4 linked regions of the Schizosaccharomyces pombe genome follow. Changing the gene in region 3 together with the main gene of any one other region gives a genetic interaction. Each region holds a gene or a part of one and is shown on either strand. Other genes may lie near its edges.

Evidence for each region.
Region 1: mutations in ste20 (region 3) and apm3 together harm fitness more than expected from each alone (negative genetic interaction), as found in Schizosaccharomyces pombe (one large-scale study listed by BioGRID).
Region 2: mutations in ste20 (region 3) and tif452 together harm fitness more than expected from each alone (negative genetic interaction), as found in Schizosaccharomyces pombe (one large-scale study listed by BioGRID).
Region 4: mutations in ste20 (region 3) and iqw1 together harm fitness less than expected from each alone (positive genetic interaction), as found in Schizosaccharomyces pombe (one large-scale study listed by BioGRID).

What each region holds. Positions count from the first base shown.
Region 1 is NC_003423.3:1,256,956-1,263,571, reverse strand, and holds apm3 (AP-3 adaptor complex subunit Apm3), read left to right. Parts: upstream 1-2,898; 5' UTR 2,899-2,931; coding exon 2,932-2,972; intron 2,973-3,016; coding exon 3,017-3,436; exon of another isoform or gene 3,437-3,484; coding exon 3,485-4,301; 3' UTR 4,302-4,383; downstream 4,384-6,616. Other genes in the region: reticulon Rtn1, read left to right, coding at 1-894; protein dbl7, read left to right, coding at 1,732-2,553; Smc5-6 complex non-SMC subunit Nse5, read right to left, coding at 4,503-5,669; prf1 (RNA polymerase II-associated Paf1 complex protein), read left to right, coding at 6,186-6,274, 6,325-6,498, 6,546-6,616. UniProt on the Schizosaccharomyces pombe protein: Part of the AP-3 complex, an adaptor-related complex which is not clathrin-associated. The complex is associated with the Golgi region as well as more peripheral structures.
Region 2 is NC_003423.3:1,132,404-1,139,118, forward strand, and holds tif452 (translation initiation factor eIF4E, 4F complex E subunit isoform 2, stress response factor), read left to right. Parts: upstream 1-1,990; 5' UTR 1,991-2,095; coding exon 2,096-2,572; exon of another isoform or gene 2,573-2,662; coding exon 2,663-2,802; exon of another isoform or gene 2,803-2,859; coding exon 2,860-2,974; 3' UTR 2,975-3,216; downstream 3,217-6,715. Other genes in the region: met7 (putative folylpolyglutamate synthase), read left to right, coding at 1-28, 338-1,639; NifU-like protein nfu1, read right to left, coding at 4,404-5,186; protein Swi5, read left to right, coding at 5,653-5,661, 5,714-5,799, 5,965-6,127; MIS12/MIND complex Mis12, read right to left, coding at 6,345-6,715. UniProt on the Schizosaccharomyces pombe protein: Recognizes and binds the 7-methylguanosine-containing mRNA cap during an early step in the initiation of protein synthesis and facilitates ribosome binding by inducing the unwinding of the mRNAs secondary structures.
Region 3 is NC_003423.3:2,472,177-2,482,259, forward strand, and holds ste20 (target of rapamycin complex 2 subunit ste20), read left to right. Parts: upstream 1-3,702; 5' UTR 3,703-3,962; coding exon 3,963-7,892; 3' UTR 7,893-8,286; downstream 8,287-10,083. Other genes in the region: SPOM_SPBC12C2.03C (methionine synthase reductase), read left to right, coding at 1,454-3,169; SPOM_SPBC12C2.01C (uncharacterized protein), read left to right, coding at 8,755-9,711; PAK-like kinase Nak1, read right to left, coding at 10,070-10,083. UniProt on the Schizosaccharomyces pombe protein: Component of TORC2, which regulates multiple cellular processes to control cell growth in response to environmental signals. TORC2 is required for cell survival under various stress conditions.
Region 4 is NC_003423.3:3,160,150-3,167,936, reverse strand, and holds iqw1 (WD repeat-containing protein), read right to left. Parts: upstream 4,798-7,787; 5' UTR 4,766-4,797; coding exon 4,705-4,765; intron 4,660-4,704; coding exon 4,566-4,659; intron 4,520-4,565; coding exon 3,835-4,519; intron 3,794-3,834; coding exon 2,295-3,793; intron 2,244-2,294; coding exon 2,153-2,243; 3' UTR 2,035-2,152; downstream 1-2,034. Other genes in the region: plasma membrane spermine family transmembrane transporter Caf5, read right to left, coding at 1-1,257; phosphatidylinositol-3,4,5-trisphosphate3-phosphatase Ptn1, read right to left, coding at 5,068-6,114; SPOM_SPBC609.01 (Dis3-like exonuclease family protein), read right to left, coding at 6,725-7,787. UniProt on the Schizosaccharomyces pombe protein: Ligand-dependent coactivator of nuclear receptors that may function as a substrate receptor for CUL4-DDB1 E3 ubiquitin-protein ligase complex.

The sequences.
Region 1 (6,616 bases), 1.2 Mb from region 3:
TCCGGTTCCGTCACTGCTTCCGATGTCGCCGCTGCTAAATCCGGTGCTGAGGACCTTGTAAATACTTTGACTGCTCACACCGTTCACCCTTCCACCGAATTGCCCTCTGCCACTTCATTTCCCTCTGCTCTCCCCAACTCTGAGAATCCCGTTATTCAAAACATCTCTTCTTCCTCTTCCGAGCCCCACCACACCTCTCAATCCACACCTGGCGAGACAAGCAGTCCCGTCTGCCCAGTTTCCGGCGCTCACGGAGGTGCCGACAAAAAATGCCCTGCTTTGGAGGCCGGTTGCCCTTTTACCAACACTACTAAGCAAAACGTCGATCCTGAGATCTCTAATGCTTTGTGGTCTGTGTTGACTTGGAAGAACACCTCTTGCAGTTTCTCTACCTTGATGAGTATTCTTGCTCTCGTTTATGTCCCTTCTTGGATCAATCTTCCTCGCCTCTTTTTCAGAACTTTCCGTTATGTCTTTTTGATTACCTCCATCATTGAATTCGGTGGTCTTTTCGCTTCCAACGGTAAGCGTGGTGTCTTGTCTCACTTCCGTTCCTCCTACATCACCTGCGACTCCAAGGCTCTTGATAGGATTGTCAACTCAATTGTCGACATTTTCAACGTTATGTTGATTCAATTCCAACGTATCTTGTTTGCTGAGAGCCCTATTTTGACCTTTACTGCCTCTGTTGCTGCTTTTATTGAGTTTTTCCTTAGTGGCTTCCTTTCCTACAAGTCTCTCTTTGTTTGGAATGTTTTGTTTGCCTTCATCCTTCCCAGATTGTATGTATGCAATGAGCGCTCTATCAAGCATTTGGTTGCTTCCCTTGAGAGATCTGGTGATAAACTTAAAAAGCAAGCTACTGAGACTATAAACACCACTGTTAACAAGTAAACCTCTGCGGGATAATTTGTTTGATTGTTTCTGTCAGGTTGCGCTTGATTTTTATTTGGTTCGCTTCCTCGTTTATTTTAAGGTTTCAATAGTATCTTTTGCAAAAAAATGCAAGGGTAATAACCATGGTTTTGTTTTCAACTTTGAAAATGTGTTGCTGTGTTGTGTTGCGTTTCAAAAGTGTTGTATTATGACTTGAATTAGGAGATTGAATGCGTTTTCTCAATTATTTTGCTTATGACTATGAGTGTTTATTTTCATAAATACGTCTTTCTCATCTCGATATATTGTAAATGTAACAGGTTCGGCTCAATCTCTCATTTCTCTTCTGAGTTGCAAACTATTGCAGTGTGGTTGAAGTTCTTGTTGCTTTGCTCAATATGATGCTATTTTATTATATTTTCTCTGCTTCGTTTAATACCCAACGTACTTATTATTCGTAATTTAATCTCGTAATTACTCCGTGTTGTTTTGTAGGTCCTCCTCGTATTCCTTATTGCTGCTCTTTTCGAAAAAAAAAATATATATATATATTTTCCATAACTAAAATGGGTCTGTGGACGAAAAAATCTATTTTGTTTAACCAAATGACTAAAGTATTTGTTAACCAAAAATTATTATTTTTTTTCCACTACTTCGTATTTAATACAGCCGATCATACAGTAAAGTGCTGATTACACTCGCATGATCGTTGTCTGCTCTCACCACAAGTCATTCACTTATATCAATGTTGTGCCAGCTTTTTACGTTTAAGCTCAAAATTTCCTTTGTATCCATATATTAGGATTATTGAAATTCAATTTATTGTCAATTTATCATGCCGCAACGCTATTATACATGAGTTCCAAGAAAGTCAAATACAATCCTCGAAAAAGCGCATCTCAAAATGAAGCTACCTCAGCTTCAGCAGGTAGCAAAGCTTTTGGATTTAATTCCGCGAAAAAGGAGAAACTTCATAGAATGGCGCTGTCTATGGAAGCAATTGAAGATGTTGAGGATCAATCGTTCAATGGCAAGTCTTCCAATCTAGTCAGAAAGCGTCGGGGTTTGGATGAAGACATTGATGAATTTTCTTCTTCATCAGAGGATGAAAGAAAGCCTGCTCGACATCCTCAAAGCTCCTCTCAAAAACCATTTGCTAGCTCTACATACAACGTAGAGCTTCCAACATCTCCGACTAAAATTACCAATATCGGTCAGTCAAGCCCTAGAGCATTGCGCTACCTGTCTCCAGAATCTCAGAGAATAAAAAACGCCAAGATGAAGTCGCCTATTTCAACACATCTGGCTAAATATTCTATTCATCACATGGGTACTCCACCATCTAAACCGTCATTCTTGAGTTCTAGCGTGTCTTCCCCTGCATCTAGTAAACAAAAATCACTTTTCCAGTGCACAAAAGATCTCGAGAAGAGATATATCAATCGTGTTCATCGTTCATCTGAAACTGAGCTTGTGCAACTTTCTTCCATTAAAGTTCTCGATCGATTTCTCTCTGACATATATCTAGTTGAAGCTGAAAAAAATGAGGAAAAATGCACAGTTTTACTTCTAAAACGTTCTAATACTGATGTAGACAATAGTAGCTCTCTATCTCTTACTTTACCTTTGTGTAAATTTACCAAAAATGGGCATCAAGTACACATACATCCTTGCTGATTCATATATAATGCTTTTTGCTATATTTACACAAAGCGTAAAGTTCATTGTGATATATTTATTTGTCATATATATATATTTTTTACAAGTATCTTAATCTACGACATTTATGAAAGGTGGTTTTCTGTTTAATCTAATTAATTTTTCAACCTGAGGTTCCTGCGTACCTTTTAGCAACCCATTTAAACGGTTTAGCATGTCAACAGTAGCATGGCTTAATTACTATTAATTACTTAAATTGTTTATAAATTAGGCTTTAAAAAGATTGAGAAAGGACATCTATGGTTACCCTTTCCTGTACACTAGAAGACCTTCTTAATCCATTTACCTTCATACGTATTCATCACCAACCAACCGCTCCTTTCATAAAACTTTTGAATGAGCACAATAGAAGCAATATATCTTGTAGACACTAATGGGTATGCGTTAGCTGTTTATTTACTTTATTAATCAAGTTGACTAGGGCGTTACTACTCCAGTTGGAGTCTCGAGGAAGGACATCTCCCATAACGTTAGAACATATAAAAAACGAACTTTTTCGCTACAAACTTCGAAATGAGGAGCCTCCATTTATATTACATAACAAAAATTTTTTGATATTTCAAGAGTTAGAGGAAGATGTGCGTTTGTGTATTCCTACAACTTGCGACACTGAGCCTCTCTACATTCATGATATTATGAGACGCATTGTGGATGTAGTTAAAACATTTTTTGGTGGGTTTAATGCTTCAAAGGTCGAGAAAAATGTTTGCGTTATTGTCCAGCTATTAGCTGAAATGATTGATTATGGATATGCAACTTGTATGGAACCAAATGCATTGCAGGACATTGTACCACTCCCTAGCTTTATGAATAAGTTTATGGCAGTTACTGGTCTACAAACGTATGTTATTTAGTTTTCTGTTTTTGCAGTGCTAACCGCATGATTTAGAAATACACCGACTCTTGCAAGAGATACCGTTCCTTGGAGAACAGCTAAAGCAAAATATGCAACCAATGAATTTTTTATTCATGTACTTGAACGCGTATCAGCCGTTTACCAGCCTAACGGAAAACTTGCTTTTGGCACAGTTAAAAGTGATATGGAATGCAAATGTCAAATATCTGGTATGCCTTTACTTTTGCTGAGTTTGAGACCCGGCACAAAACTAGGGAATGTTCGGTTCCACCAGTCAGTCAATTTAAAAAGATGGAAACAACATCCGGATCAGATTGAATTCATTCCACCGGACGGAAAATTTACATTAGCTTCTTTTCAAACAGACTTTGCTACCCAGAAATCTTTGCCTGTTGTTGTTGAAGCAAAAAATAAGTTGGATGGAAGGTTCGAAGTACGTATTCGAAACACCGGGAAAAAATCCGTTGAAAATTTAAAAATCCTAATAACTATTCCTCAAGCTCTAAAGAGCGTTACGGTTACCGAGGGAAATTATATTTTTCGTGCTTCCAAGTATACTCATATGGAAGAAGGTATTCTGGAGTGGTCGGTAAAAAAATTAGCTTGGACATCCCCGGCCTTAGTGTTGACAGGATTCCTGGCCCCCTTAAAGAAAGATGCCAATTCAACCGAAGAGTCAAGTAGCTACTCTAAGCTTGAGCACCTTGATTTACAATATAAACTTCAAGGATCAACCCTTCATAATTTTAAAGTAGAGTCATTGAAGATGCTTAATCATCCAGATAAAAAATCTTATAAAGGGGTCAAGCATACAATTATTGCACAAAATGTTTCATTTCGTTTTCGGTAATAATTAATTTACTTTCTATCTACCCGTTTGTTTATTATATATTATTCATATAAATTTCATTTTCTTAGTTATCACTAATGATTATAATAATTATTTTCCACACAAAGCCTCATTCATTGAAACGATACATATAGTCTATATATATTAGGATACACAATTAATGCCAAATGACTTCTGTTAATTTGTAGTTAAATTATTAAGTTAAACGATTTTATCCAAGGACAATTTTTTTGAAATATCTAATAATACAAGCATGTCTTTGAGTATTGCCATTGGTCTATCAATACCAACTAATTCTGTTTGTTGATACATTGTGTATAACTGCTTCAACGTTGTGTAAAATAGCTCTTTATCAAAGTTGCGATCACTTTCACGAAGGGCCGAACCCAAAAATGAGACCCATGCTCGTAGATGTAGCTTCTGTCTGATTTTGTTTTTCGGAAGGGAAGTGGGTAAAAGTTGAGTTAGCTGTTTAGTAAACTCACAACGTGTATGGCGTATGTTAATTCCAATACCTATTCCTTTCATAAGTATATATTGGCTCAGGCAATACCGGAGATTGGAGGCGCCTAAGTTTCCAAAGAAAAGATCTTGTTGTTTCGCATTCAGTTTTGAAAAACGTTCGTCGAGTTTGCTAAGAAAATGAAAAGCGTCTGTCAGATGTACAACAAAAAATCTTCCCTTCGGAAGCATAGCCCATATAAGGCATAAGAGTTTGGCACCTAGGTTTGCTAGTCTTGATGTTCCTTCAAAACTATTTGAACCTCGACTTTCTGTTTTAGCAGGTGCTTTGGACATACTTGTTGCAAAAGGTGATTCCATTGTTTGCTGGGGAAGAGTGAAACAGGAGAAGCAAATTCTGATGGCATCTTGAAGTTCACACAAATCTTCTCCCATGTATTTTTTCATCAACGCAGATCCGTTTTCCTCAGCATCGATCTCTAATATCCTTAACCATATGTCCATCAAGGACATCCAACGTTCAAGGTCAGGAGGACGAGAAGACATGTATGCAATTAGATCCCAATAATCAACATCTTGGGTAAATAAGCATTGGTTGGAGAAAATCTTCAGATAATTTTCTTTAGGCATATCGTTGTCCGATAGATCATTTTCAAATGACCATGCGTCAAAGTTGATTTTGCTTCTGTTCTCAACCACCTGCTGTAATATCCAATTACAGCTTTCTTGAATATTAGAAGAGGTAGGATATTCTGGGTGGACTAGAAGAGTTATGCACATTCGTATATAACAAGCTGGAATTGGTATAGAGGTCGTCGATAGAAGATATTCTAAAACATCTAATGATTTTGGCAACAAGTCTTCTTCAATACAAAGCTCTATTATTGCCTTTAGAGCCGAGTTCATTTTGAAATGGCGTAAGCAATCTTTGCTACTTTATATGTAAAAGAAGCCAGATATGGAAGAGATATCTTATTTCTTAAAACGATTTTCTTTGTAAAAGAGCATTTAACATGTGCCCTATTTACAGTCTTGTGATTATTATTGAATGGTTTGATTCACGAATTTTATATTGTAACAAAATGCAGAATTCTCAGTTTGAAGTTTTTACGCGACAGAAGAAATATATTCAAAAAGAGGGAAAGAGGAGGACCCCAAATGAGCAGTATTTTAAAAGGAAGCTTTCAACGATAAGGTTTGTAACCAAGGAAGACAACATCTGCAAAAATTATTTCGTAAAAAAAAAATTAAAAAAAAAATCACTTTTCAAATTATAAAAACATTATTCTTTTAATGTACTAGCAGATAGTACCTTTGAAAGCTAGTAGATAAAAGTTTCGCTGCTGTTATGAAATTGGTGGAGAGTCCTTGGAACCGTTATTAGTCAGGTATCTAGCTAATCTGATCCTGTCCTCCACCAAGATGGCCGACTTTCAGGATGAATTGTTGGCATTAGCTGGTATTGATGACTCAGATGTTGCTTCAAACCGTAAAAGGGCTCATGATGATTTGTAAGAAAGCAAATTTATCGGATTGACCTTGCTAACAAAACATATTTTAGAGATGATGTGTTGAGCAGCAGTTCAGACGAAGACAATAATGAAAATGTTGGACAGGATTATGCGGAAGAGTCTGGAGGAGAAGGAAATGAGAAGTCGGAAGACGAATTTGAAGAAAAATTCAAAAACCCGTATCGTCTAGAGGGCAAGTTTAAAGATGAAGCAGACAGAGCAAAGTACGTTGATTTTTACATTTTTCATAAAGTTGTCTAACCAAATAAAGGATAATGGCAATGACGGAAATTGAGAGAGAGAGTATTCTCTTCGAACGTGAAGAAGAAATTTCAAAGTTGA
Region 2 (6,715 bases), 1.3 Mb from region 3:
ACATTGGCTTAGATGCATTGGATATCAGGTAAGTTACTACTTATAATTAGGAATTACAAAAGAATAGCACTCAAATATTTTAAGCCGCTGCATATGATTAAACGAGATTGAAACAAGTATTTGTATGTCCTTTATAGTACTCGATTGTGATCCTTTCTTTAACTTCACCTTATTTTTAATAATAATAATCTCATTGAAAGGACAGCACATCATGTCTATAAAGGGAAATATCAATAGGAATTGTTGACTTGGCTGGTTTAGCCTGTATCTCTTTACGAAATCTTTTTGTTAATAGTTCTATACTGTCATGCAACTTTTACTAACTAATAAATCTCAGCCATCAGATTTGAACCGACTAAATGTCATCCATGTTGCTGGAACTAAAGGAAAGGGTTCTACATGTGCATTTACATCCTCAATATTACAGCAAATACAGAAGAGTGGAGAAAGGTCGATTCCAAAATGCATTGGTATGTACACTTCTCCTCACCTCCGATCTGTCTGTGAACGTATTCAATTAAATGGCAAACCTATCAGTCAAGAGTTGTTTACTAAATATTTTTTTGATGTATGGGAGCGCCTAGAGAATGCTGTCGGTAGTGATTCGGAAAAGCCAATGTATTTCCGATTCTTGACACTAATGGCATGGCACGTTTTCATTTCAGAGAATGTCGATGCCGCTATCATTGAAGTTGGGATTGGTGGTGAATACGATTCTACAAACTTAATTGAAAAACCATATGCCACAGCAGTTACAAGCTTAGGTCTTGACCACACGTCTTTGTTGGGGAACACAATAGCAGAAATTGCTTGGCAGAAAGCTGGAATCTACAAAGAATCAGCTATTGCCTTAACTTGCGAGCAAGCTCCCGAGGCTATGAATGTTTTAAAAAACCGTGCTGCTGAACGAAATACATCACTTAAGGTAGTCATACCTCCTGCTGAATTAACGCCGGATATGATTGGTCTTTCAGGAGTTCATCAGCTTGGAAATACATCCCTTGCAGTTTCTTTAGTCCAAGAATTCTATGAAAAGGCCGGGTGCCCTTTTGATAGAGATCCATATCAGGATCCAGCAATTTTGGACGGCCTCAAGTATGTAAAATGGCCTGGAAGATGCCAAATTGAGGAAATCAACAACATAAAATGGTGTTTTGATGGAGCCCACACCAAGGAAAGTTTGGAGGCCACTGGACTTTGGCTCGCATCCAAGAAGAATCTTTATGAGGATGCAGATGCCCGTATTCTTCTGTTTAACCAGCAAAGCAGGGATGATCCAATTGCTTTACTTAGGTCCTTCTTAAAAGGATTGGAAAGCTCGGGAACTGGGATTTCGTTTACGCATGTTATATTCTCAACCAATGTCACCTGGAAGGATGCAGGCTATAATCCAGAGCTGTTAAGCATTAATACCATTACTGATAATAAGCCCGTTTTGCATGTACAAGAGGATTTATGTAAATGGTGGAAAGAATCGAAGGGCACGACTAGTGAAGCAACAGTAGCCCCTACCATCCAAGAAGCTATTGAGACAGTGATGTCAATTAAGCAAAAATCCAGGAATACTTTTGTTTGTGTCACCGGAAGTCTGCATTTAACTGGTGGTGTTTTTGTAGTACTAGATCAAGCTGTTTTTTGATTGAAATGGAGAAAGGTTCTACATTTTGCAACATTGTTTTTGAGATTTAAATGATTCTTAGATATACAACATAGCTTTATGCATCTTTGTAATTACAAAATGATTTTTAACAATTTGACACGTAAGGGGAACAAATTTGATTTCACGAATTATAATAGTATGCAGATAAAAAGCTGTGTGAAATTTGATTATACTCGTGCATTTCCAATCAAACAAATAATTTACTGTAAAGCTTTAAGGCTGATTATTGACTTTTTATATATACTTAGCCAATATTTAAGGTATGAATGTACAATTATATTTTACAGGAACAGTGTGTTGAAAGTTGCTTTTGCTTGGATCTCGTAACCCAATTACGACCACCGCATCTTTTCAGCATCCAGCCTAGTTTACAAACTGCCTATTATAAAAACGTTTTAAGCTCTTTTAATATTTTTGTTTTTTTAAAAAAAGCAAATGGCAGATGCAGAAGACTCGCGTCACTCAAAAAATGAGGGTTTTCCCAACACTTCCTTAATCACAGAAAAACTAGATCTATTGGATTTATTTGGGTCACCAAAAGTTAAAACTGAAAGAGAGGGACGTCCAGCGCGCCTTCTTGAAGGTCTATCGGCTGTTAATGCTGAAACTGCATTTGTAAAAACACACCCCCTTCAGCATGAATGGACATTGTGGTTTTTGAAACCACCTACACAAGGTCTTGAATGGAGTGATCTTCTTAAAGAGATTATTTCCTTCAAGACAGTGGAAGAGTTTTGGGGCATCTTTAAGACGATCTCAAAAGCTTCGATGCTTCCCGCCAAATCGGACTACTCTTACTTTTTGAAAGGTATTCGTCCTGAATGGGAGGATCCTCAAAACATGAATGGTGGGAAATGGGCCTACCAAAGCAAGCACAAAGGTTCAAATCTCGACGAGTTGTGGCTGTATATGGTAAGTCATGGTCTGTTCATTTTAACTGCTGTGATATCGACTTTACAGAATGTTAATTTTTAAGTTGAAAGTATTAACGTATGGAAATAGGTGCTGGCAGCCATTGGAGAAACATTAGACCCTACTGGGAAAGAAGTTACTGGTGTAGTTTGCAATATGAGGAAAGGATTCTATAGAATCGCTGTATGGACACGAAATTGTAATGACAAAGATGTTTTGGAAAAAATCGGGTATGTGAAGTTTTAAGAGTAACGTGTTGGTAGTTGACTGGACTAACAAACATGTAGCCTGCGCTTTAAAGAAGTTTTAGGGATTTCTGATAAAGAGACTATAGAATATAGTGCTCATGAGGATTCATCAAAGGCTGGTAGTATGCGAGCAAAAACCCGTATGAGTCTTTAATGATATCAAGTTTCAAGTTTTTATTTTTACTTTCTAAGGCTTGGTAAATTATAGGGGTGTTCATTTACGAATGACAATATGTTATTGCAATCATTGCCCTCTTGTTTTTGAGACCTCTAAAATACCAAGCTTATTGAGATGAGATAGATGCCTCTTTACAGTTAGTGTATTCGTATGAATAGTTTAATTTGTTATATTTGTTGAGCATTTTAATAGGCTAATGGATATAATCTATATTTGACCCTTCTCTTACGTTATAAATATTAAAATTCTATCAAGAATGTAAATATGCTAGATCGCCAAATCTTCCTATTATTCATAACCGCCTGTATATTAAACATTTATCGCTAGCTTATTTCAAGCTGAATAATGTCTACTATGATTTTACTATTTCCGAGGATCTAATGTAATGTTGGAACTAACCTTTATCGCTAAGGATCCATGAATGTTTGAATCAAACTAAAATTTCGAAATAATAGGCGACCTTCATTTCTTCTTATCATTGTCGAAATCGGATAACATTAATTAAGAAGATAGCCCTTTTAATCGAATTAATGCAGCGCTTAATGAGTACTGGGAAAAGTGGGGAAATTTACTTGCAACTTCTGTATGCTTAGAATTAGATATCTGGTGAAGAAGTATCTACAATCAGACTTTTCAATGTACTGTACGGAATATTGTCGAGTATCAGTGCACCACTTCAATTCCAAATCTATCGCTTCGCTTATACTCAAAGTTTTTTAAACAAATAAAGCTCAGCACTAACTTCATCATTTGGTTAATCAGCAATTAGCAAAGATGAAATGATTGACGAATATTTCGTAACGCTGATACAATCTCCCAACTCCAAACATAATTCGCTTATGTATACCTATTTAATAACCTAGAGCTTAATTGAAAATATACGAATGCATTACCACCTTTTCTAACTAGTCAATTTTTCGAGTATCGTTTTTTAAGCAAAAGAGAGCCAAAGGCTAACATTAACTCAACTCCGTTCTGTGTATCAATTCTCCTTTTCAAATTTCGAAAATAGTCATCTGCGTACAGGGACATCAACGAAACATTCCAACAGTATTTCAAAATTTTTACTTATTTATTTCATAAATATGTACCCTCGCTATTATTAAAACATTTAAATATCTCTGAATAATACAGGTGTTGATGAAACCTGTAGTTTATATGATACACATCTTCATTATTCGTACATAAAATTTGCAGTCGAAAATGAACCAAGAAAGTAACATTATATGATTAAACAAATCGTCTTATATAGTAGTATGTGTTTTTTATCGAATACAGTGTAAATATTCATTGTTATTTGCTGTTTTTTCTTAAAACTCATAAATAGCGTTTTGTTCGTCAATTATTAATTTCTATCACCAAAGTCTTTTAAATGAACCAAATTCCCTATGTTGAATGGAAAAAGTTACTTGTTATCAGCTTTCTGTTTGTTTCCGTTAATGCGCTGTTCAAATTTTTCAAACTCGGCAATTGCAACCTCCTCTTCTGGATCTAAAACTTGTACAACATTTTCCACTTCCGGAATGTAATGCTTCAGCATTTGCTGAATTCCATTTTTTAGTGTCACAGCTGATGACGAACAGGTTCGACATGCACCTCGAAGTTTAAGAGAAACGGTACCTGTCTTCTCATCAAACCCTCTAAATTCCACATCACCACCGTCTTCTTGGATAGATGGACGAATGCTAGTCTCGATCAGTTCTTTAATCATTGCAACAATTTGACTGTCGCTTTCTAATATTTGAGTATCGCTAGCCCCCTTTAGAGGCTCTTCAGAGAGTACTGGGCTTCCATTACTTAAATGCTCCATAATTACACTAAACACTTCTGGCTTCATTTGAGCCCATTCAGTTCCTGCTCCCTTGGAAACAGTAATAAAGTCCTTTCCAAAAAAAATGCTATCAACTCCATCTATATCAAATAGTTTCTGTGCCAATGGAGAATTCACAGTTCCTTGTCCTCTCATGAATTCACAGCTTCCGATAGTTGGAGGCAAGATATCTAGCCCTGGCAGGAACTTCAAAGCGTTTTCGTTCGGTGTCTCCTCCGATCGGATCCATATGCTGCGAATTGCTTGCAATTGGAAACGTGGAGTGAAAACGTTACCAGCTGAAGATACTGGTAAAAAGGTTTTCTTTTGGAATGCTGTCCTTAAAGATTGAAACGGCACAACTCTAGGAAATAACATGCTTGGAATCAAATCGTGCTTTATCCAATAAGAGACAAAATATTAAGACAAGTTCAGAATTTGAAACTTCTTAAGTATACACTTCAAACAGATGGGAAAATTTAAATGTTTATTAACAATTTTTAAATCAGGAAATGCTAATGTAAGCAATTCTTTAAATACATGCAAGAAGGCAATTTGTACATGGGCATACGAAAACCGATGTGATCCTTATACTTTCTTATACAAATTAGCGAAGTTCATTATATTGAAATAAGCCATTGTTCGTGATTCAACAATTTACTTGTCTTTCATCACTAATCTAAATTCTCTCTTACAAGAACAATAGACATTGTTTTCAATTGAACAAATCGGTAGGCTCCTGCCTTCCTCAACAACTTAATTTCTACTAGGTGTTCAAAAACAGATACCTTCCTAGTAAATTTCACACATCATTGCTTCATTAAGAAAGAACTGTTTAAATCGTATGGAAAAGGTAAGCCAACGGTACCATTGTTCATTCACAAAATACTGATGAATTACTGCAGTCTCAACTTGAGTCACGCGTCCATTTGCTTGAACAGCAGAAGGAGCAATTGGAAAGTAGTTTACAAGACGCTTTAGCTAAGCTAAAGTAAGTGTGGTAAAGTGATGCTAGAAATGGTAGAAAATATGAGTTATGCGCCTTTACGCGCGTTCAGGTTCATTTTGGGAAAAGCAATGTATTGCCGTTCCATCAAATCTATTCAAGTCATCATCAAGCTTGTCTCGTTTTATCTAATGTTGACAAATGATTTAGAAATCGAGATGCTAAGCAAACTGTACAAAAACATATCGATCTACTCCATACCTATAATGAAATACGGGATATTGCTTTGGGAATGATTGGCAAAGTGGCAGAGCATGAAAAATGTACAAGTGTCGAATTGTTTGACAGATTTGGAGTTAATGGGTCAGAATAATTATTATCCATTCAGTTATTTAGGAAAAAAGAGAAGTTAAACAAAACAAATAAAAATGTAACGGAAAAAGTGACAGAGACAATCCAAGTTTTCTTTATTAAGCATTACTTTGCTTTCGCTAGAGATCCAACGCCAATTCTTATATATTTATTATGAAAGTTTACGTAAACGATCACAATTGTTAGAACATCTCAAGACTTTAGCTAGTTGATTAGTATTAAGGCTCGTCAGTATGTCCGACGTCTTTTTCAGATGACAATAGCAACTTATGAATGTTATTTGCAGTTTCAGTATTGGCTGTCGATTCTAGTTTTGACAAGTGATGTGACCAAAAATCCTTTTGCTGGTCGATGGGATTAGATAATCGTTCGTAACCTTTTTCTAAGTAGGTAATTCTTTCATCCACCTCTCGTGAGTGTACAGTGGGAGAGGCTTCAACTACTCTTTTAACGGCATGCTGCAGATTACCAAGTTGATCAAGAAGGAAATCGGTAGTTTCTGGTAAAGTAACTTGCCAATTTTCGGGTACTTTGTTGAGAAAAGAAATTCTTTCCAAATGCTTTTCTATTTCTGTTTTTTTTTCTCTTT
Region 3 (10,083 bases):
CATAAATATTCTCTGCTTCTTTTTTAATTTTGTCTTGTTCCCATAAAACATTCAACATACGCTATCACTTGCAACCATCGTTACTCATTCCTGCCACGGCATTCTACTTCCCTAGTTACAAGTTTACACTTTCCGTAACCTGATACGTTCAAAGGTCTCAATTCGCTAGCGCTTGTATCTACCCATTGACACATCTCACACAACATTTATATATATATATGTATGTATTCATATATATTTATGCAAAGTATCTCGACTTGTAGGATTTTTTACAACGCAACAAACACAATACAAAGTACGAGTACATAAATAGAGAGATATAGTAAAAAAAAGAAAAAAGAAAAACTTGCTTACACTTACAAATTTGCTTAGAGGTATATACCAAATTCTGCAAGAGTTTTCTCTATTCTTGAATTTTTTATTGAAACTTAGAAATAGCAACTTTCTTTTTAGCCCTTCTACAATAACTTTTGCATACTCTACTCCCAACATCCATTTTCTCATCAGCAATCCTAGTCCAAGCTTGTCATTCCAACCTTCGTCAGTGGTAAATCTCGTTTTCAATCTGAATCGTCGATCTTTGCGTCATTATTGAGCCGTGGCATTCCTATTTGATCGCTCTTCGTTACGGGCTGTCGGAGGAACATAACGTGTGATTTTAATTTGACTAAAAATTTTTTATCAGATCATTTTTTTTTATTGGCCCTTCTACTCAAGTTGCGCAAGCTTGAGCACCTTTTTAGTCATCTGTTGGGTGAGTTTATTAACAGACACTTTGTTTTGCCCTGGTGGCTTAAGGTACCGTACATCTCATTCCTGTTAACAAGGTAGCTAGCATCTTCACCTGTCCTACTACCACCTACTTGTATCTTCGTACACATACACCACCCAAGAGAGGCGACTTTGCTTCATATCTGATACAAAACAAATACAATACAAATTATTCTTCCACATTTGTTTGTTTGCTTCACTCGTTCTCATTTGCCAGCCCTTTTTATCGCCTTTGCTTTTTCCTTCAGATCGTCTGGTTTTAACTCTACTTTTACCACGCCTGTAGATTCCAAAAATTTCTTTGAACATCGTACTAATCGGTTTATCCTTTTACGTCTTCTCCTTCTTTTTATTTAAAATTATCTTTCTAGGATTCGGGTTACCCCACCCATTGGTTTGGAATCGTTGTGTCTTGTGTATCTATCTTATTTTTAATCCGTTTACTCGTTTTCTTCCCCTTCTCTAAAATTTTATTCTTTTTTTTTCTTTTGTTTTGTTTTGTTTTCTACTTTTTACATCCTTGACTTTCTTCCTTACGATTGTCATTTTGTTTATTTAAAAGTCTTCACTGTCTTGTTAGTTTCCATTTGTAATTCCTTTTCATCCGGCAGCTTGTTTGCCTTTTTCCCCTTACTATTTTTAATACTTTTCTCTATCCACTTCTACTTTATTTTTTCTCAAGATGGCACCTTCTGTTGCAACCTCACTTAAGGCAGAGATCCTACCATCTCCGCGTACCTCATCTCCCTCTTCGAACTTTAAAACGTGTGTTTCCAACGAGAATGGTTGTATAAACTGTCGTTGCTCGCCTTCGGAACCTCATGAATCGGCCAATGTCGATGAGTCGGTAAATAAACTTTCCAAAACCTTCTCCAAACTTTCATTAAACCCTACCTTCCAGGCTTTGAACATGGATCTAGGTCTTCTACATGAAAATATTACTCTTGACAGAATTCCCAAAGTTCCCGAGAATCATGTCTCTTTGATTGATATCGATGAGGCTCGTGCCAAAGAAGACCCCAACTTTCAAATTCATTCAACTCCTTCTAGAATGCCTCCTCACTATGTTCAACCACACCCTCCGTTCAGTGTCTTTCCCGCCCCTATACTAGACGTTCGTGAGCTCACTAAACCAGGTGCTGTCAAACGTGTGTTCCATTTTGAACTAGACGTTTCCAACTATCCCCTTCCTGAAGGCGAAGAGTGGATGGTTGGAGGGTCGTTTGGTGTAATGGCTCCCAACAACGAAGAGGATGTGGATGAGCTTTTACAATTACTTCATATCAATCCCGACCAGGCAGATGCCCCTGTCCTTTTAAAAACCGATGGAGGTCGTTGGCCCACCATCTGGGCAGAAGACACACCTAGAGAACTCGTTACAACCAGGCGTGAGCTTCTTAAATGGACCGTGGAGTTTATGTCTGTCGCCCCAAAAAAGCAGCTTATTCGGTTACTTGCCGAATACGCCAAGGATGATACCGAGCGGCAAGTTTTGTTGTTTTTGGTCAGTCGTTTGGGACAACGTGCTTTCTGTGATTTAAGGGACCACAACGTTACACTTATCACTCTGCTAAAGGCTTTCCCTAGTGTTCAACTTCCTCTTGATCACCTTTTAACCGTGCTTCCCCAGCTTATGCCTAGATGGTATTCTTTGTCAAACGATCCCAAGGTCAGTAATAATGTATTGGAATTTGCGGTTACAGTTGTTGAAATCAATAAAGTTGAAGGAGGCACTCGTTCTGGTATTGGTTCTGGTTTTTTGAAAAGATTGGCATTGAGATTTTTAAATGGTGAACGAGATCTCGTCCTTCCAATGTACCGCGGTCTGCACAAAAACGCATTTGCCACACATTTTGCTTCTGATGGCCCTATGTGCCTAATCGGTGCCGGTGTAGGTGTTGCTCCCTTTAGAGGTTTTGTGCAACGACGTCTTACAAATGCCACTTGTGCTGGTAAAGTTTGGGTTTTCCATGGATGCCGCGACCAAGAATTGGATGAGCTCTATCATGGTGAGTGGGAAAACCCGCTTCAAAAGTCTTCAGACGATGATGCATCTTCTACAGTCAGCCAACAAACCGAAACTGAAATGGATTCCTTCGAAGTTAAAAAAGACGGTACTAGTGGCCCCAACCATCTTGTTGTTGAATCACGTTCTCACCAACATGCCTATGTACAGGACGAGATTCGACACCGTGGTGACATTGTATGGAGTGTTCTTAGTCATCCTCATGGGAAGGTTTATCTTTGTGGTGGTAAAAAGGGATTTTTAGATGGTGTTGAAAATGCCTTGATTGATGTTTGCGTTCAATACGGAAAAATGAGCAGGCTGGAAGCTACCCAACAACTTGCTCTTTGGCAAAGTCCACTTAACCTTAAATACATAAAGGAGATTTGGTAAATGAATGAAGTTGTTTATCCACGTTACCAATATTTATTTTTTCGTTAAAATTTTTTTTTTGTTTACTATCTTTTCACATTATTTTCGATTCTTTTCTGTCTTTTTTATTATCGTTTCGTTTTAAAAAAATCTTTTTTGAAATGTTTCGAAAGCAATATTTGTATCTCAAAATGGCATTTTAATTCTATATTGGCTTGGGCATATCTGTTAAAACATTTTTTGTTTAGCCTTTTGTTTCCATAAATAAAAATATAAACAAATTTTAATAGTTGATTGTAGTAATATAATTTACTCATCTTATTCTCTTGCTTTGATTTATCCTTCATGTTTTCGTATACTGTTAACTAGCAATCTTGAGACTGTAAAGTAAACATTAAGGATTCGATTCTTTAGTGAACCAGTACCTAGTATCTAATTATTTATTAGCGAATTCTAAGGAAATTTGTTTTGCCCATTAATAGCGAAACATCACTCCATGTCGTACAATCGTTAACGCCGGTAACAGAACTCCGATTAAGTTCAGCCGTTGGGGTATCCATGAGCATACGAGCATAGTTCGCAAGCATTATCATTTTAGGACTCTTCACAATCTTAAGTTATTATTTAAGTGTTAATATCTTTAATTTTACTAGATTGCTTAAAAATTGAGAGTTTGACTAGCCCAGTAAGCAATCGCGTGTTGCACGCAATAAGTATTAGTACGAAAACATACTATCCCTTTATAAGGCTATTTCATGAAGGCGCTTATGGAAGGAGATAGCTTTTTTATTCCTGCTTTTAATGATCAGTGCTCATGAAACCTGTGCGAAGGGGACAAACCGATACTGCTTTGGATATAAGTTCCCATGCCAAAACTAATGGTGACTTTATCAAAAAAATGAATACCACTGATTCAAAAAGGCTCAAGTTACTTGAGGATTTGAAGGGAAAGCTCGAAGTTGAGTGCAAAATACGGGATGGCGCTGAAACGTTGCTGCAAGTCTTCGACACCAATTTTAAAAAAGAAACAAAAGAACGTAAAGAAATGTTAAAAAAGAAATGTACCGATGAGCTCGAATCATCTAAAAAAAAGATAGAGGAATTAGTTTCTAGCATTGAATCTTTCCAAGGAGAAAATGGTGAAGCAAAAACTGGCTCAACCAGTCTCACGAGGTCTGCTTCTGCGACTGTCAGTCGAAAGAGCTCATTGCAGGAAAAGTATAGTACGAGATTTTCTTACAAAGCAGGATGTAGCGATAGTTGCAGTGTTACAGTCAGTGGGACTGGTGAATTAATAGGTCCTACCAGAAATGCGCATAGCAATTTAACTCCTACCGTCATTCAAAGAATTGACTTTGAAAATGTCAACGAAAAAAATAATTCTTCTTCTGAAGATACTCAACCTAACGGAAAACGTCCTTCTAGTTTGCAATCGAATTTCTCACAATTTCCATTAAATCCTTGGCTTGATAATATATATAAGGCTTGTCTTGAAGGCAGTATGAAGGATGTAATCGATTCCTCAAATAATTTATGTGAATACTTACATGAACATTCTGATCCCGCTTATGCAAAAAACTTCTCCTTGATTACTCCGACCATACTTTCAATGCTCGAGTTGAATGTCTCTGAAGTTACGGCTTCTGTTTATAGACTACTAAGGCATTTGTTTCTTGACGCAACAGCATTCTCTTGTTGTCAAATGTTGAATTTACCTTGGATCTTGTCAAAGTCTCTACTTTCTGGTACCGATGCATATCAAATTGAACGAGAGCAAGCATTCCGACTAATCCGAACTCTTTATTTTCTTTCATCAACTGAAGGACATGAGGATTATCTTTCAGGTATTACGAGGACTATCATTTCAATTTGTGAGCATGTATCAGATGTTAGTCGTGGAATTGCTGTTGAAACTCTTATCGAGTTAATGATTATTCGACCAAAAATTTTATTTAAAGCTAATGGTTTAAGGGTTTTAATGATCTCCCTAATCGATGGAAGTATTTCTGAGAATTTAGCAGCTAGTGCTGCACTTGCATTAGTATATCTTTTGGATGATCCTGAAAGCGCTTGTTACGTAAATTTACCCTACGATATTGGCATTTTACTTTCACCTTTTACTAGTTCTTCTTCGCGAGATACATTTAATTCCTCTGAGGAACAGTCTGAACAAGCTGCAAAAGCCATGAAATCTTCCGCCAAAGTTGCCTCTGTTTTGCTTAATTCATGGTCTGGATTATTGGCTTTGTCTACCAATGATTTTCAGGCTCTTCGGTCGATTGTTGATACACTTCGGGTTCCATCCTTTGCTCCACGAAGCGATGTAATTGATCTTTTCTTTTTAATTTTCCAAGTTGAGTATTCAAGTTGGTCAGAGTCTTTTTTGGCCGGAAAACGATTAACAGTCGTTAAAAATCAGGCTGTATCTAATGATGATAACATAAACATGGTTAATATACCGGATGGTTCCAACAAAAAGTACATGTCGCTACGCCAACATTTTACAGCCGTCTTATTATTTATATTTTTGGAGCTCGGTTTGGTTGAATCTATTGTATGTATGATTAGGGCCAGCGATGACCCATCAGCCTCACGTAAAGCTACATATCTTCTAGGAGAGGTATTGAGGCTGTCTGATGAGCTACTGCCGATTCATTTAGGAGCCAAAATACAATCCTTGCCATCTTTATTTAATATGGCTTCTCAATTTACTGCCGAAGACAGGTTTGTTGCCACTTCTGTTCTTCAATCCATTGAAAGTTTGAATAGAGTTAAATTCCATTCTGCAACACAACCTTTCTCGCAGACAACCTCTCTTCTTTTTAAGGAGCAAAAAACTGATGGATCTTTTCGGGGGCAAAGACAGGTTGAGCATGTTAAATTGAAAATGGGCATGCAGATTGATGATTCACATTTTCGTAGTATGCTAGCTGAAACCAACGTGTTAGCTACAAAAAACTATCAAAAATGGCGATGGGATACACTTGTCCAAATTATGGAGGGTCCATTGCTAAGTCCGAAACGTATTGATGAAACTTTGCGAACCACAAAATTTATGAGACGGCTTTTAGCATTTTATAAACCCTTTTCCAACAGATTTTCTTCCATACAAAACACTAAACCAAATCAAAAATTTATAAAGGTTGGTTGTCTTGTTTTCAGGACTTTACTAGCCAATCCGGAAGGCGTTAAATATCTTTCTGAAAGCAAAGTGATTAAACAAATAGCAGAATCTCTTAGCCAGATAGACGGATATTCAGAACAGGTTTCTGAGCCGATTTTCTCGAACAGTAGGCTTCAGAAAACCCTCACCCACGGTTACTTTCCTATGTTAAAAGTATTGTCAAGCCAAAAGGAAGGTCATGCAATTATGGAACGATGGAGGATTTTTACTACACTTTACCATTTGACAGAATTGAGGAACAGAGACGATCTCATAATTATTTTTCTGACTAATCTTGATTATCGGCTAGAGGGGCACACACGAATTATATTTTCTAAGGCGCTTAATACCGGGCAACAGGCTGTACGCTTAACTGCAACCAAGCATCTTGCGGCTTTAATCAATTCTGAGTCTGCCAATGACAACTTAAATCACTGGGCAATTTCTCTATTGATATTTCAACTGTACGATCCTTGCTTGGAAGTATGTAAAACAGCAGTGAAGGTGTTGAATGAAGTTTGTGCTCGAAATGAAAACTTGCTGGCTCAAGTTGTTCAGCTTCAACCTTCATTGGCCCATTTGGGTGAAATTGGCTCACCTTTACTTTTACGTTTTCTTGCTACAACTGTCGGATTTCATTACCTTTCTGAAATTAATTTTATTGAACATGAACTCGATAATTGGTACCATCATCGAAATATAGATTACGTGGATTTATTGGAGCAAAATTTTTTCCTTTCTTTTGTTTCAAATCTCAAAATTATTGACAAGAAAAACAATGAACCAGATGAAAATATACTTCCCCTACACTTTTATGGCGAATTAGTCAAATCTCCACAAGGTTGTGAGGTTCTCGAGTCTTCTGGGCATTTTGAATCTTTTATGGGTACCTTGGTGGAATTTTACGATAAACCGTTAGGAAATGAAGCCATCAGGCAGTTAAAGAGTGCTCTTTGGGCTATAGGAAACATTGGAAAAACCGATCAGGGTATTACGTTTTTAATTAACCATGATACGATACCGTTGATTGTCAAATATGCCGAAAATTCATTGATTCCTACTGTTCGAGGAACTGCTTATTTTGTATTAGGCTTGATTTCCAGGACTTCTAAAGGCGTTGAGATACTCGAATCACTGCATTGGTATAGCCTTATGTCTTTAATGGGCACTTCACAAGGAATTTGCATTCCGAGACATGCTGGACAAGTATTATCAACTCCAAGGAGAAATGTTGAGTTTGTAAATGAGCGCGTGCCAACTCCTGAGTTTTCTTCATTACTTAGCTCTTTAACTAACTCAGAGAGAGAGGTAATTAGGCTCGTTTCCAATTTGTCAAACCATGTTTTAACAAACGAGTCAGCACGGCAACTAACAAAGATTCGTTCGAAAAATGCTAAAGTTTTCTCCTCTAAACGTTTGGTGAAAGCTTGTATGACCATTCTGGGAAAATTCCATTACCGTGTTCAGATTCAACAATTTGTATTTGAATTATTTCCTTACTCGGTTTTATTGTCTTCCTCAACCTCACAGGACTTAAATGAATCCCCGTCCAGGCCGAATAATTTGTCAATTTCCGCATGAACTCCAAATTTCCGAACCTTCACTTTTCTAAAATTTTTGTAAATTAATGATTTTTATGATTTCTTATTATCGTTTTTCTTCTGTTATTCAATAAGTTTGATCTTTAGTTTTCTGCTTATTCTTTGACCTTCCCTCTTTGTTTCTTTTCATAAGTTTATTTACTAAGTTAGACTAGTGTTTACATAAAAGGTGATTGCGCTAGGGTTAGTAATGAGTTTATAATTGTTTTTGGATGTTTAAATTATTAATCTAATATTTATAAGACATGTCTGATACTTGCGGATATTTTTTTGAATTTGTGTAGTTTAGGTAGGCCTGCTTAGCCCCTGGCCTCCATACGATAGTAATATGAACAAGAATATATTGCCTTTCATCTTTTCGTGCTAATTTTTACTTTGTACGCTGTTATTATCAATATAAAAATTGCGTACCACAAAGGTGTACTTATATGTAATACCCATGCTTAGCAAGTTATGCTCAACTTCCACATACAACGTATGCAACGAACGGCAGCCTCATGTTATAGTAAATTAGCAAATCCTATATAACTAAACGAAAGTGTATTTGCTTAACATATCGTGGAGTTTGGGCATATTTCTGCTCACAAGTAAATCTCATACAACATCGCATTTGGTTTTAATTTGTTTTGGTTGTTCGCAAGGAAGAAGATTATTCTTTAAAAAAAAGGAAATAAATTTATAAATATAATTTGAAAAAAAATATATATATATATATTTGGGTTTTTACACTCTTTTGACTACATAACTCGATAGGTTTTCGGATTTGTTTAATAGACAAAAGAAGGAAGTACGTTTAAGGGTTTATTTCTATGGAACATTATTGATTTTTTTTTTTTCTTGCTATGTACAATGTGACATACAGGTTACTTCGTCTAAGCTTGATTTCTTCTCATTCTTTAAGAAAATCACGGTCCTTCGATGTCAAAAACTTTGCAAATATTCATTTTTTTATTCCCTTACCAAACACACCAAAAAAGTTTTATTCTGTGAATGCATTTTCCCCTTTACTAAAAGCACGGCGCATGACAGCTACGATTGTAAGCAATCATAATGTTGGTTGTTCATGTTGCTACTTTCGACAGTATAGCACAAAACAATTTCGTGATTTAAATACCAGTGAAGCTCTTTCTCCATGTAAAGCTGAACCGATACCCTATAAAATCATGTCTTCCATGAGTAATTTTTCAGATTTTAAGTCTCGATTTTCACAATATCGAGAATCACATTTAAAGCTACTAAATGAGCTTCAAAATGTTAAAGACACAAATGATCTAAAAGACAGAATACGCTTACTTCATCTCAATAGCTCTTCTAAACTTAATGCTTTTTTACACGATCTTATAAACGCGCCAAATGTGTCAGCAGAGATGAAGGAAAATTGTGTTCGTCTGATTTTTTTTGGAAGGAAGTATGATCCTTTTCTTAGATCGAGGATGTTCACTTTAACTATTCGTTACTTTCTACTTCAAAAAAATAGGCTTAGGACTAGTTTTTATTTATTAAAACATATGGAGTTATTGGCTCTTCCTGCTTCTTATGAATTGAAAACAACTCTTTTAGAGTGGTTCTTACGAAAACGAAAATTTGAAACAGCTCAAAAGATTTTCCTATCGCTCTGCTTTTCCCAACATTTTCCCTCCGAAAAGTTATTGATGGTTTTACTTCTTCATGGGACTGAAACTATGCAGGAATATGCGATGATACAGGCAATAAATTTTGTGAATACAGAACAAAAGTTACGGTTTTACGATAGACTACACTCGATTTGTAGCAAGTTAAAGTTTTCCTCGACGGGTTGATGCTTTGGTAATAAAAATGGTTCATTTGGATGGTTATTTAAATACAATATTAAGATTTCTACTGTTTGGGTATTTAGTAAGGTAAATTAAATCATTGTAATTTTCGTTCAAATTGTAACTCATATAAATTAAATTATCCCTCATCTTGTTCTTTAGTTATTATCACGACAATAAATTTACGACTCTATTCCTTAACCGTGGGCACTATTTTAATTTAAATGTTCTGTATTTGGCATCATTATCTCAACAATTTAGATTTTCATAAAAGATGAACGAATATATTAGCAAAAAAAGAGAAGTTAAAACATTAAATAAATTAAAGATTATATTATGAAAGGACTAAAAGCATCATAAACAGTTATTCATTATATG
Region 4 (7,787 bases), 690 kb from region 3:
CGACCAGCCAAACCAGAAAAGGCAAATGGGAATAAAGAACGTTGCTGGAAATGAAATGACCAAAACTCCTTCCGGAGCAAAATCACCACCACTGGCCATGAATGCTGGGATCATCACTTTATACAGGAATACGAAATAGCAGGCTAAAGTAATCAAGGCACCCACGAGAATACCTAAGTAAACCAAGCCATTTTCAATAATGGTAAAATGGTAAACGCTAGTAAAAAGGATTGGGAAAGCTTCGAACCACAGATATAAAATTGAATAGATTAGCCCAATATATATATTTAAAGACAATACTATCGGCTCCGAAATACTTAGTATTATCGGACGAATTATGGTTTCCTTTGCAAGCTGAGCAACACTTAAATGGGAAGATGCCAATTCGGCCTCTGTTCTATAATTTTCGTTTCCAGTTATCTTACGGAACCTCTTTGCCCTCTTATATAATATATGCCATTCAGAAGTCTCTGGCATAAAAAAGAAGATAACAATCAATGCAAAGCCAGAAATCATCATCAAAAGCCAAAATTGCCATCTCCAAGATTCAGCAACGACCATCGCTCCACCAAGCAACGGTCCCAAAACTGGACCACCGATGGCTCCAATTGCCCAAAAACACATAAAGTAGGGAAGAAGCCATGGTTGCCAAATATCTGCCAAAGTAGCACCTCCAGTCGCTAGAGCTGGCGAGCCGAAGAAACCGGCCAAAAACCTCATTGGTAATAAGACGCCCAAGCTAGATCCCAGTGCGGTGGGAATCTGTAAACACACAAATACAAGGAGAGAAAGAACATAAATCTTTTGGCGACCAACTTGTGGAATCTCCGAGAGTGGAGACAAAATTAGGGGACCGATGGCATAGCCAAGTACAAAAAGAGTCAATCCCAAAACTACGGGAACAGTTCCTACGTGCATCGTTTCTTGCATTTCTGATATACCTGGAGTAAAAATTGCTGATCCCACATAAACCGCAAACGTTAAGAAGCAAATATCAAAAGTCACCACAAGCTTTGCCCACAAAGGCCAATTTAGGGGATTTTCGGGATCGTTGGCATCATCCCATCGCACAATAATGTGTCCCTCTGAATTAACTTCATGAATCTTCAGATCGCCGGATTCCGAGCTGCATGAGTCATTGGAATCTACTTTGCTAATGTCTTTCCATACTCTCAGTTTCTCTAAGTCGTTGTCATTGGAGTTGTGAGAAACGTATTCGACCAATTCGCCGAAAACGGTTTCCCTTAAAAATCCCATTTAAATGACCGTATGTAAAAACCAAAGTTAGTTCTATTTTTTGGTCTCGGTTAACTTTATTAAAAACTTGACAGATTATTTGCCCACACTTGCTGGTACAATTGTCTGGCTACATTCTTCTCCTAATATACCCTTCGTGCCTTACCTAATCAACGTGAATGTTTACTAAGTGTAAAGTAAGCATATATTGATTGATTAGTCAATTATGTGAGATTCCTTCTTTCAATTATCCATCGTATTCTAAGTCGTTTCAGTAAGCAGTATTAAAAGTGCAAAATCATCTTGTTGCTTATGTAAACAAAAAAAAAATTAAGATTGGAAGTTACAACAAACATTTCTAACGTACATCAGTCGATCGTCATCTCGCGTAAAAAATTCTGCCTTAATTTTTGTCAGCAAAAGAAAGCGAAATTAAAAAGTAAAAACAGAACTATATGACTAATCAAAACTAAGTATGAATTAATTCTTTTCAGAGTAATGCGAATACAACAGTTACTTAAAAAAATGATGTCGTTAAAAACAATTTTAACTTCAAACTATGATTAAGTAGGTAGACGATCGACGGAAGACAGAAAATAAGAGGGATTGCTATGCTTGCCGTTTTCCTTTGAAGACGATGTTTCAAGAAAATTAAAATTTAATATTTTACTTTTAAAGAAAAGCTTATATAAAAAATGACTATTAAACATCTGCAGTCATACGCACTTAATATTTGTCCAAATGAATATGCCGAAATTGTCTTGCTTTTAACTACTTCGCTTAAATTCCCAACTTTATCCCAAAAAGTAAAATCATATAGTTATTTCACAACATTAAGTTTACTTGAAAATGTCTAATCATTAATCATAAATAGTTTTAATAGAGAAAATGTGAGCTTCAAAAAAAACTTCCTCAGTTACATAATACTACAAGCATCGGTATCGAGCACTTCGTGTCCAAACCCATCATCCAAATGTGCACGATATGCAAGATGTGACAACATACGACTAGAAGAACGGTTAGTATTTACATGAGCAAATTAGAAGTATTCAACAAACCTCGTTATGTAGGAATCTCGCGACCCCTGCTGCCTATTCATTTCATTGGTAGCAATTATTTTGTAACTATTGGAAGTATGGTTCCTTGAACAACCTGATGGTGGAGTGTTCTCAGTATTGAATATCTTCACGGTGGAATCAATACCGGACACAGCAAGCGTGGGACAACGGGGATGCCCTTCTATAACGTTAACAGCTTCACTATCGCCATGGATAATTGCAAGAATGGAAGCATTTAACTTATCCCAAATAAAAAACCTGCCATCGTCAGAACCACTCATGACATATTCATCATTTTGACCATAGAAATTAACATTTTTAATAGACTCTACGTTGCAGTGACCATAATAACTTTTAACATGTGTGTTCACCGGCACATTTGGTTCCACTGCTTTCCGCTTCTTCATTCTTAAAGACAACAAAGTCGGACCTTCATCCGAATCCTCATCACTTTCATCATCATCATCACTAGCATAGGAGTAACTTTCCTCATCCTGGTAATCATCATCGTCATCATTGAGATCAGAATGCCCAGTATACATACTGACAATATTTTCTCCCGAACTACTTTCAACTTCATTTTCATAGTTCACTGGCGGTTCCAACAATGTCAAGAACCCGTTTTCATCATCAAGTCTTTGGCTGGAAGTAACGTCAGAAGTACTGCTGTCCCAAGGCTGAAATTGCTCCCAGTAGATATCGGAGGATATAAGAAGAAGACAACCGCGTAAAACTTTATGTATCCAAAAAAACCGCCTTACAGAAGATAAATCATTAGTATCTATCCTAGCAAATGCCCTAATCATTTCAGAGGGATTTGAGAATAAAACCCGAGATGGTTCATCAGGATCACACAAAACAAAGTTTTGGCGAGCAACGTTCGTAGGCGGAGACATTTGTAGTGCCCAATGGTCCGATATTCCTAACAAATATCGTGTAACCCAATTCATAAAATCATACAACCATCCCCAGCCAGCTTGTATAATGGTGTTCGGTTCCAAACTCACAGTATCATCCATAAGCGCTAAAATAGAAACACACGCTCTCCAATAACGTAAAGCACTAACGCGGATACTATGATTCAAACCGTTTGAATCGGGAATATAATTATAATTTTCCAAGAAATAAATAGCGTCTTTAACGTACTGAATAGAGCGAGAAAAATGAGATAAACGACCGCTAACAATGCTCTCATACAGTCCTCCATTTTCGGTAGTAAAAAACTTTTCGATATTCTCATACATCTGATAAAATGTATGCTTTCGAGGTTGGGCTGCTGTATACGGATTTCTTGACACTCTACTAGCTGGAGTAGAAGCACCAAAGTTATTCTTATACCATGGCGAGTAATTTTTCCTTTTCAGCGGCTGTGTTTGAAGTAACGAAGGCTTAGACGGCTTTTTATTTGAATCCTCTATTTTATTAAAAGTTGGTGTATAAGATTTATCTTCATGAACATGGAATAAATATACATAATCAGAGTTCCAACTGACAAGCAACTATAACAAACATTAGAGATCACCCATGCAATAAGACTTACCTCATTAGGATTAGCAGCACTAAACTGACAACAAGTGATATAACGATCCAAGATACCTTGGGAATTACATGAGCCATCTGGACTAAATTTACGAACACAACGGCAGTCTTTTTCGGGAGAAGTGTTCATAGTCCAATCATCCCGGAAAGATTTTTTAACCATCCGGCGATCATATAGAAACGCGTACGGATGAGTACCACCAATTGCAAAATAATAAGGGTTTGAAGGGGACATGGTTATAGTGTATAAATTGATGCGATATGGGTTATAATTTACCAGTATAGAAGGACAATCCAAATCTTGATTGCAGACATGTGGCTCACGAATATCGTATTGACGAGCCGTCCCATCTTCACTGCAAACTAGAAAAGTATGACCATTGTCACAAGGGACGATGTTTTTAACAGAATCAAGAGCACAACTCCAACATCTAGTTTGAGTCTCCATGCCGTGATCCATTCCTCCTTCTTTACTTGAATCTAAATCAAACAACTTAATAAGCTTATCACCACTAGCAGACAATATTTGCCGGTTATTAGAATATGGGACAAATTTCGCACTGAAGATATTTTGAACATGGCCAGTAGATATTAAATGCCGTGGCTTGTATTCATTGAAAACATCCCAGACAATTAGTCTTGTATCATCACTTCCTGATAACAAGAATTCACCGTCCGCGGACCAGCTGAAAATTGTAAGCATTGTAGAACAAATTGTTATAAAACACTTACTCTAGTGTATTAACACATCCCGTATGACCAGTTAATTCTTTCTGCAAATCTATACCGGTCAACCAAGTCGAATTGCCGTAGATATCTCGACTGACTAATAAACTAGTTAGCATCATTCAAAAACAAAACAAGAGCATACTTTTTCGCTGAAACCAATCTCTATAATCCAATTGACGCAAGGATAGTGATATCCCAGACATGAGAGTCAATTCAGCGATTAACAAGCGTTGGTGGAAGACAAGCTCAATTCAAGTGGATGTCGGTAATGTAGCCACGATGAGTTAATACCATAAATCGTAACTGCAAACTCGAATCTTAGAGTATAAGCCTTAAACTCAAACTCCTATGTTTTTTTTAAAATTTAAAAAAAAAACTTGAAGCGCCTCTGTAATTTACTGAAGTAGAAACACTTCAACATGTGAGTTTATTTCGATGATCGAAAGGAGGATCTAATTGCACAAATAATCATTTTATTTTACACTAATATAATATTTACAAAATATCAAAAAACATTTTCATATACAATTGTCAGTTGTTCGAAAAAGGGGTCACTTCGTCGGCTATTATCCATTTCAGACCAGGAGAACGAAATTGACTGTTGTCCTTGCAGAAAGGAATTTATACCTTGTTGAAAATTTATCCCGTTTGTGTATTCCACAAGCATAGGTTGAAAGTGAGTATGAAACCAACATTGCACACTCGAAGGAAAGTAAAACTGGCCCTTGCGTTCGACTCTGAGCAAAAGGTCTTTCTCCGATGTTTCTAGGTTGCATTGTATCCCCCATATACGTTTTCCTTCTTTTATGCTTACATTATGGGATGATATATCTGAACTCTTCCACAGAGCAACTGGATTTATGTTTCGTCCCTTAGAGAAGGCATGCAATGATAGAATCAAAGATGAATTTTTTTTAATATTCAAACATTTAAAACTTTTAAAAAAAGTGGTACCAGTATTAAATTCCACAGCTTTCAAATAATTCGGGAACTGTTTTAAAATTTCGATATAATAGACGTAACGTATTTGCGATGAAATGGTAAGACCGTGCCCTCGAACCATTCTTTTTTCAGTATATAGTTCAAGACTTTGCTTGGCTGTCAAGCCTCCGAAAGCTACCAAGTAGCTACATATTACAGTTCCTGTACGTCCTTTTCCGGCCTTACAATGAACTACCAATGTCAACAAAGGTTGCGTTTGAAAGAGTGCATCCATATTCATAACAATAGCCCATAAAAAGAGAAGCGGAGGTGGATTATGATCTTGAAATCCATAATTTATGACATTTGGTTTAAATAATTCCAAATGGTAAACTGTTTCTTCGGCACATAAATTCAACAATATCCAGTTGTCTTTCAATTGCGTTGTAAGATATTTAAATACATCCAATTCGTCGTTTCGATATAACTTATGTATTCCAGCAGCCGGTGTAGACATAGCAATTACCTTGGAAGTAATATAAACCATATCTAAGTAAGCAAAGCTACGATTCACTTTTTCTTGTTTGAGGCCTTTTCGACCCCTCGAAACTACTGATCGAAGTATATTCATGGAAAATTACATGTTTAATTAGTTATTTGTAATATACTAGGATAATACTGCAGATGCCGTTGACTGTTGAAATATGAGGTAAGCTGCACTGTTCAGAAGAAAATAAGAGAAATACAATAAAGATTTTAGTAATGAACTTTAAGCGGGTAGGTATCAACCATAGTGACGTGAATAAATAACTAATTTACTTTTAATTATTTATATATTTTGATAGCAATGATTTGATAATCCATTTTATTGAAAAAAACATAAGGGCATAACTTTTCCCTTTAAACGATGCAAAAGTATTACTAGTAAAAAAAAATAATAAAGAAATAAAAAAAAAAAAATGAGAAAAATGAATAAAAAAAGCCAATAAGAAATACAATCGTAAGACATGAACCGTAAATAAGCATTAAAATATTTTGATAAAAATCCTTAAAAACATTTAAGTCCACCAAAAAACAAACAAACCCATGCGATTATTCGAATCCTCTAAAATAAATCCAAAACGTTTAGGTAAAAAGAAATAAGTGGTAGAAGTATATAACGTTAGACATATGCAATTAATCATACATTAAAAATAAATCGTGAGGCATACACATTAGCGAAGATCACCAGTTATTGAAGATTAACTGGATAGAGGACTTTGTAAAGTAATTAACGAGAGTGAGTAAGTAGCGGAAGTATCAGCAAATATAAGTACACTAACCTCTTGGCCTGGACGGATGGTTTGAACAACCTCAGGCTCTTTCATACGTAAACTATGAAGTTTTCCATCTCCGGAAATATCCTGATTGCCAGAGGAACTTTTAGCTGTTTTACTAGTACTGTCATTGCCTCGAGCCTTTGAATAGAAAGACTCCTGGGACTCAGCAGCGTTAGCTAAATCCCGAACCTGTGCATCCATCATATCGCATATTTGTTTGCACATCCCGTTGGAATCCAAAAATTTTTTCTTAAAGTCATTGAAACAAGGTGTATCAATTTCCAAAGAAGATGAAGCATAAAAGAAAGAAGCATTTGTCCTCCATGATAAATAGAGTTCGTGTTTTTGCTCATTAAAGTCGCAGTTACTAAGCGGTAGCAGATCCAAGGAGATCCTTCTTTCCAAGCCAAATTCGTATATGACTATGTCAATATACTCCTGGTCAACAGCCAAAACAAAAGCCTTATGCTTAACGAGCCCAGATCGTAAATTAATAGAATGGAGAAGTTGACATAAATATGCATGTAGACTTTTTTCCTGGGCATTACGGTAGAAGTTGCTCAGTGTGTTACAAGACTGAGTTATAGAAAGTAAACTTCTGTAGTCTTTGGAAAAGTCTGGTCTGCCATCAAAGGCTTCGCGTAATTGTCTCTGTACACATATATCGATATATCTACGAGTAGGGTGACAAAAATGGGTGTAGTAAGGACAAGAGAACACAAAATGCGAAACATCCTTAGCATTTGAAGTACCGATAGTGTATTCAGATTCATTACACATTCTTCTTAGAGTCAATTGTAGTAACATTTTGGTTCTCTTATCCTTGGTAGTTGCAATTTCGGTCATGATTTCCGAAGGAGTAGATGAAGCAGATAAATTCACTCCGGTTAACTCAGAAACTGCAACAAGAGATGCAAAGTCAGAAGGTCTTTGATTTTTTCGCAAAATCACTTTACTGGGAAAAACAGACATTAAATGAGATGCA